Linked DNA regions of Coturnix japonica. The protein of the gene in region 2 interacts with the protein of the main gene of each other region in a pairwise test. Links are inferred from orthologs where the notes say so. Each region holds a gene or a part of one and is shown on either strand. Other genes may lie near its edges.

Region 1 (3,911 bases), about 64 Mb from region 2:
CTGCTTCTAAAAAGACACTGAGTAATTTGACTGGAACAACCAGAGCTTAGAATACCTCAGCAGGCATAAACATAACAGTGTTTGAGTTGCCTGAACAGGAAAGACTACAAGACAACTGCAATGTGCCAAACTGCGTGCTACTTTAAAACGAAATGGTAGATAAAAAAAGAGAGAAGAGAGAGTGAAAAATAAGAGAGCTCTCAAGAGAAATGGTAGTTACCAGTAGGAAGAACAGTGGGAAAATTCATTCCAAGTTTCTGGAGACTACTTAAAAATTAGCAGTGATGCAATTAAGTAGCATCGGGCAATGGTATGTAAATAAACAGAAATCAGATTTTTCCCTTACACGATTACCACTTACTTTGATTTATTGGGGATTAAAAAAAAAACAACACAATGCTAGGAAGACATACATACAGAAAACCATAACAGTAAGATCTACATGTTAACAATGAAATATTGACAGAAGTTTCTTAAGCAGCACTGAATTCTTTGTTCAAATATGCACCTAACTTTGATTAAAAGGTGTGCTGCTAGTAGCCTTGTTTCTTCTCCTCTTTGAGGCTGTTACACGCGTGACTCTCAGTACTGCACAGGAAGCCATAGTAGCTGATGCATTTGAAGCCTTCAGTTCAGCAGATATTAAAATACAGGACAACCAGGAGATAAGACCTTTGCTTTCCAAGGTAAAAAAAAATAAATATTTCTATATAAACAACAAATTGACTGAAATGTTTTTTAGAAGTCTTTTTCTTCCCAGGGTATTCTCTCAAGACAAAAGGGGAACTCCTCATCTGTGACAAAGACTCAGTAGCTGGCATTGTCCTACTGCCCACATCTTTCAGATCTTCGAGCAGCTTTTAAAATATTCCCACAGATCCCAGTTTCACACACATCAATCTCCAGCAGTTATTTTACACGCAGGATTTTCTTTCAAGCATTACTGTGAAGAGAATCGATTCTTGATTCAACAGTAGCCAGCCTTGCCTCCAGAGCATTTAGTATGGTGTTTGCCTGTGAAGTAAATGGGGAAAGACCTGGTTAGAAACAGGTGTACAATATAAAGAACAAGTATAGATGTCATCAAAACAATGCAAGATTAAGCGTTACCCTTTTTAGTGCTTCTTCCAAGGCAACTCGACTTTCGAGAGTTAAAGGTTCCTCATCAGTAACAGCCTGCTTTTCTGAGGATCCTAGAATGTAACTGATATGCTACAGTTTAGATGATGCACTTTTCATTCTGAAGGCAAAAGAACACTTGTATGATTCATCCGCCACTCTTGATAAGATCGCAATTAATGCACCAGCACAGTCAAAGCACTATTTTGGCAACAACAATAACACAACCCTATTTTTAGCAATCTTGCAAATGAGCTGTACGGTAAAACTTCAACAGCTTTGAGCTCTAAACAACCAAGATGTCATTCAGATATTAAGATTAGTGTAGCACTAGATGGGAGAACTAGACATCATCACTACTCCAAGAGAATGCTGCTCTGTAGCCCTGTCATAGTCTTCCAGAGACTTTTACTGTCATCAAAAACCAAAGTATTTAGCTGTGTAAAGAAGAAAAGACTGTTCAGAGTAGGAAGGAAAACACCCATGTATGTTCAGCAGAACAGGCTGGAACTTCACATAGAAGTAGAAACAGTAAAACTAGCCCACATGGAAGTAACAGTAGCTTATCACTAGTACTATAACAACACTTGGATAAAAGATCTCTAGTCTGGATACTTAAAATCTTCCACCTTTAAGATGGCTCTGAAGATTGAGATTTTTAAATAAACTTCGGACAGAACTCTAATGTGGAGACTTAACAACATCCTCAAACATCAAAGAACAGTTTAAGACCAGAAGGGCTGAGATCCTGAGACTATTCAGCCTAGAGAAGAGAATTCTGAGGGAACCGATCTTATTAAAGCTTATAAATATCTAAAGGGCAGAGCCAAGCAGTTGGGCACCACTGAAAAGAGCCTGGCCCTATCAGGAGGGCAAGATGCACAAACTGGAAGACAGGATGCTCCATACAAACATGAGAAAAAGCTTCTTACCATGAGAGTGGCAGACTACCAGAATGAACAGCATAGAGGGGCTGTAGAGTCTCCTCCAGAGATACTCAAAACCTAACTACCATAGGGAACTTGCTCAGACTGTTAGCAGCAGCATCCCTTGATATGGTGTCTGGAAGGTGAGGTTAACCCGACAGCAATGCAGATTCTGTCTTTACCTTTCAATTGAGCCAACGTTGAAACAAAACAAATCCCTCTTGTAGTCGAGATGCTTTGGGGTGCATCTGTAGATGCTGCCAAGTGCCCTCGAGCAGCCAGAGCAGGAAAACGTTTCAACCATGCTTTAAAAAAAAACAAAGAGAGCAAATCACTCCTCCCTTCGCCTATTAAAAGTACATACACATGTATTTTATCGACTGTGGTTTGAAGAGCGCTCACCATCCACACTCTCCAGGCCTTTTGGACAGCTTCTGCTCCTTGTCCACTGAGATGTTGCTGGAGGCACCTGCACAGAGCCAACACTGACCAAGGGCCCCCAAAAGCCGTCATGCAGGAGAGGGCAGATGGGAGCAGCACTCACTGCGCAGCAGAATACACGTCGCGTCCTCATCGTTGGCCACCCAACTCAGCGTATCTCCCACAGGCCGCTTGCAGCCGCCGCACAGGAACACCATGGGCAGGTTCTCGTCGTTTTCCTCTTCCTCCCCTTTCCCGTTAGCCCGCGGTCGCTCCATCGGCAGCGCCTCCCGAGGGATGGTCGACTCGAGCAGAGGCAGAGACGAATCCAGCGCAACCGCCCCACCTGACAGCGGATACAACAAGCCCGCCATCACCTTCAAACTGCCCACGACGGAACCGGAACCAGCCCGAATACGTCGCGTCCATGAGGCGGGGTTCGGTGCGTGGCTACGCCCCACAGCGTACATACGCAACTAGCGTAGCAGGGGCGGGGATTAGTACATGTCCCTGCCCACAGCGTGGTTACGTTACTAGCGTAGACGTAGGAGGTGGGGTTGTGTGTCAGCGCTGGTCTAGCTCAGTGCTGTGCCTTCATAACCCCTGCTGGAGTGTGTTAGGAGGTGTTTGGGTGACGTAGCACTGAGAAGGCAGAGAGAAAGTGGCTTTGGTTGGTTTCAAAGTTGTTTTTAGCCAAACTGGTGCGTTGTGCGCTATGGGATGCGGCCCTGGCTTCCCCAGCCACCACACGCACTGAAGGCTTTAGGGATGCAGCCAAAAGCCAGCTGAGGGCCTGCTGTCCTTGCTGCTCAGCTCAGTTAAGCACGTTTAGGTACCACTTGCTATGCTGCCACGGCCCAACACCTCAAGCCTTCAGCTGGCTCTACCTACGTTGTGGCCCCCATGCCCACTGCCCACGTCCCTCAGTGCCACATCCACACGGCTCTTGAACACCTCCAGGGACGGTGACTGCACCACCTCCCTGGGCAGCCTGTGCCACTGCAGCACTGCTCTTGCTGACAAGAAATCCTTCCTAACACCCAACCTGAACCTCCCCTGGTGCAACTTGAGGCCATTTCTTCTCATCACCATTGCCTGGGAGAAGAGGCTGTCTCCCACCTTGTCACAGCTTCTCTTCAGATAGTTGTAGAGAGCTGTGAGGTCTCCCCTGACATCCTGTTCTCCAGACTGAACAATCCCAGCTCCTTCAGCTACTCCCTGTTATGATTTTATGCTCCAGACTTTTCATCAGCTTTGTTGCATCCTCTGTCTATGATGCATTTTGTCAGGTACTTGCCCCCTCCTTTATGTGAATAGAAAGAGATTTCCTTCAGCCCAGCTGGCTGTTTCCAGTAGCTCCAGAGAACACTTCATTGCAGCTGTCTCTCAGAGAGAAGGGTTTGTGACACATCTGGCACTTGTCCATCCCATTCTTAGCTTACTTGG
Region 2 (3,911 bases):
GCAGTAAGAACACAGATGCACCAGACCATCAGCTTTGTCCTGCTTTAGCAAGAAACAGGAACAAAACCACTTTTGTTGCCTATAAATGCAAATCACAGATGACCCATACCTACACTTCAAATATTTTCTTTTCTAAGAATACACTGCACAATCCAATTAAAGAAATTAATTCCCAGAGCTATTTTCACATGGAAGACACAAGAAAGAAAGGAGAGAGACAAGCTGGTCTCTTGATAAACTACACAAGTTCCCTTCAGTTGAGACATCTGGCACAGCGTACAACAGCAGCAATGAAATAAAGCACAGTTTAGACTTCAACGTAACAATCTTCACAGATTAAGTGTCATATGTTTAATATCCTCTCTTTATTCCCTCACCTCCTCACTTTCAGTATGAGCACAGCTCCTATATCTAACAAGTGCTCAGCACTATGGGGAAAACAAAAAACCAAACAACAGCATCAACAGAGAAACTGAAAAATGAACAAGTTTAACTAAGCCAAAACAAAGGCAAACCAGTGGCAGCATGGAAAAGCACAGATCACAGGGTTTATTTCCTACTGCCCACAGATGGAAGGCATTACCTCGGCGTGGTGGCCCTAAGGGAAAACTCTAACTTTGGAGCTAGAGCAAAACACAGAAAGGCTTAGACTGGAAGGGACCTTACACAGCTCATCCAGATCCAGCCCTGCAATGGGCAGGGCTGCCACCCACTATATCAGGCTGCCCAGGGCCCCATCCAATCCAGCCTTGAACACCTTCACTGAGAGTGGGGCAAGTCCCTTCTCACTAGTGACAAATGATGGGACAAGGGGAAATGGCCTCAAGTTGCGCCAAGGCAAGTTTAGGTTGGATATTAGAAAGAATTTCTTTACAGAAAGGGTAGTTAAACACTGGAATAGGCTGCCCAGGGAGGTGGTTGAATCGCCATCCCTGGTTGTGTTTAAGAGCCGTTTGGATGTGGTGCTCAGGGATATGATTTAGTGGAGGGTTTTTAGAGTTAGGGTACTGGTTAGGCTGCGGTTGGACTTGATGGTCTTCAAGGTCTTTTCCAGCCTCGGTAATTCTATGATTCTATGATTCAGGGATGTGGCATCCACAACTCACTTGGGCAACAAGCGCCTCACAAAGCACCATACCTGTATAAAGCTGAATATGTAGCACACAGGAATTACATAGGCTGCCATGCCGTACTCCTTTAGACACAAGAATATAAACTGTGACTGATCACAGTGATCCATAACAACCTATGATTAGACAACAGAATAAAGTCCCCTTTCCCCCAACACCTGGCAATAATGCTTTCAGCTCTGCAGAGATCAACTCATCCTACTCATGGAAATAAAGATATAAACAAAAATGCCAAGTACATCTTTGCTATTATTTTAGATATTATATATTATTGGCACGTATGATATATTTACTCTTTTTTTTTTTAAGTAGTCTAAGAAAAGTTCGATAGAATAGCAAAAAATAAACGCTTATATAAACGTTTAAATGCTACAGGAAACTTGCATCAATCAGATGAAAGAAGTTCTCAATTATAGTTGTACATTTAAGGATCATAAAGTTCCAACCCCCCCCACAAGGAGGGCCATCAATCTCCAGAAAATGCTCGTGGCTGATGGAAGGGACCCTTAAAAGAGATCAAACAAACTATTCTGTGATGATCCCATGTCCCTGCTAATTCCTGCCAATGCTTGGGGGCACGCATTGTGAATCACACCCATTTGAGATTGATGTCCTGAGTAGCTTCACTTCTAACAACTAGTTTGGCACCATCAGATTTGGGAAGAGCTCCAAAGTTCTGAGAAAGCTCCACTGGAACAGGCTTCCTTCCAGTAAAAGCACAGCAGCAAGAAAATCAGAAGAAACAGTGGCACTAACACACCTGTACGCACATATATGGAAAAGAAAAACAACCCTGAAACTCAAACTTGACTCACAGAATCACAGAATGAATCACAGAATGACCCGGGTTGGAAGGGACCTCAAGGATCATGTAGTTCCAACCCCCCTGCCTGGCAGGGCCACCAAACATACACCTTTACTAGATCAGGTTGCCCAGGGCCCCGTCCAACCTGGTCTTGAACACCTCCAAGGTGCCTCTGAGACACCTCCAAGAGACCCCTGAGCGCTAAGCGGGGCCTTTAGCAGAGCCACGCGTGGTCGGCACACAACAGCGGCACGGACGGAGCCCCGCGGCACCCGGGGCCGTGCGGACACCGTGATCCCACCTGAGGGCAGGGCCGGGACTGAGGCCGCATGGAGAGGCCGGAAAAGCGCCAAGAGACCCAAGCGTAGAGCCGCCTGCCGACCGCCCACCCCGAGGCCTACGCAGGCCGGGCCGGTAGGGGAGGCCGGCGGCAGGGCCCAGCCGATAGGGATTGAGGGGAGAAGGGCCGCGTTACCTCGGTGCGGTGGTGCCGAACGAGAACCCGCCGCCCCCGCCTCCTCCTCCAGCCCCGGCGGCAGCAGCAGCTGCGGAGCCCAGGGTGCCCGCGCCGAACGAGAAGCCCGCAGACATGGCGGCGGGAACTGAGCGGAGCGGAGCTGAGGAACGGCGTCAGGCGGCGGCGGGGTCTCGGCGGGGCGACGGGGGCTCCCGAGGCGGGCGGGGCCTCAGCGCCACATGGCGGCACGGAGCGGATCCAGCGGGAGGAACGCGGCCAGACACCGAGAGACCGAGCAACCGGGCAACCACGCAGCACAGCACTACGCGCGCACCGCGCTACGCACCACGGGATGGAGGCACCGCCACAGCCCGATCTTAAAGCGACAGCGACCCGACGGGTGCACGGCACTGAGCGTGGAGGATGGATGGGCAGCAGTCTGCTATTGTTATAGGTGTTAACGGGAAACGGGAGTCGTTATATTATATTAGGACATTATATTAATACCCTCTGAAGGCCTGTGGGCATCGTCACCCAATCACAGAATCACAGAATTATCAAGGTTGGAAAAGACCTAGAAGATCATCTAGTCCAACCATTACCAATACTTCCCGGCTAAATCATATTCATAAACACAATATCCAAACGTTTCTTGAACACTCCCATGGTTGGTGACTCCACCACCTCCCTGGGCAGTGCATTCCAGTGCCTGACTACCCTTTCCGAGAAGTAATACTACCTAATGTCCAGCCTGAATCTCCCCTGGCGCAGCTTAAAACCATTCCCTCTAGTTCTATCACTGATTACGCGAGAGAAGAGGCCAACCCCCAGCTCACTACAACCTCCCTTCCGGAAGTTACAGAGAGTAATAAGGTCTCCCCTGAGCTTCCTCTTCTCCAGGCTGAACAATCCCAGCTCCCTCAGCCGCTCCTCATAAGGCTCCAGACCCCTCACAAGCTTTGTTGCCCTCCTCTGAACACGTTCCAGGGCCTCAATGTCTTTCTTGCAGTGAGGGGCCCAAAACTGAACACAGTACTTGAGGTGCGGCCTCACCAGTGCTGAGTACAGGGGGACAATTACCTCCCTGAATCATTTGAAAACCAAGTGTTTGACGAAGGTAGGAAAAACTTCTCAGACGAAGCAGTGAGGCAGTGGCACAGGCTGCCCATGGAGGCGGTGCAGCCACCGAACCTGGAGGCGTTCAGTACTGTGTGGGTGCAGAACTGACTGATGTGGAATGTGGGTGTCAGGGTTTGAGTTAAGGCTGGACTGGATGATCTTTTCCAACCCATTTACAAGATTTGCAGCCTTTCAATACCTGAAGGGAACTTACTCCCAGGAGGGGAGTAAACTCTTCGAAAGGGCTGACAATAGCAGGACTAGGGGAAATGGTTTTAAGTTAAAAGAGGGAAGATTTAGGTTGGATGTTAGGGGGAAGTTCTTCACTAGGAGAGTGGTTAGGCCCTGGAACAGGCTGCCCAGGGAGGTTGTGGATGCCCCGTCCTTGGAGGTGTTCAAG

What was found.
Region 1: the proteins of NUP58 (region 2) and MIS18A interact in binary tests that used the Homo sapiens proteins (3 or more experiments, as listed by UniProt). The link is inferred for Coturnix japonica from reciprocal best matches to the Homo sapiens genes NUP58 and MIS18A.

Annotation. Positions count from the first base shown.
Region 1 is NC_029516.1:94,345,369-94,349,279, forward strand, and holds MIS18A (protein Mis18-alpha), read right to left. Parts: upstream 2,918-3,911; 5' UTR 2,840-2,917; coding exon 2,590-2,839; intron 2,515-2,589; coding exon 2,448-2,514; intron 2,351-2,447; coding exon 2,228-2,350; intron 1,205-2,227; coding exon 1,111-1,204; intron 1,015-1,110; coding exon 934-1,014; 3' UTR 343-933; downstream 1-342. UniProt on the Homo sapiens protein: Required for recruitment of CENPA to centromeres and normal chromosome segregation during mitosis.
Region 2 is NC_029516.1:158,396,759-158,400,669, forward strand, and holds the start of NUP58 (nucleoporin p58/p45), read right to left. Parts: upstream 2,750-3,911; 5' UTR 2,527-2,749; coding exon 2,411-2,526; intron 1-2,410. UniProt on the Homo sapiens protein: Component of the nuclear pore complex, a complex required for the trafficking across the nuclear membrane.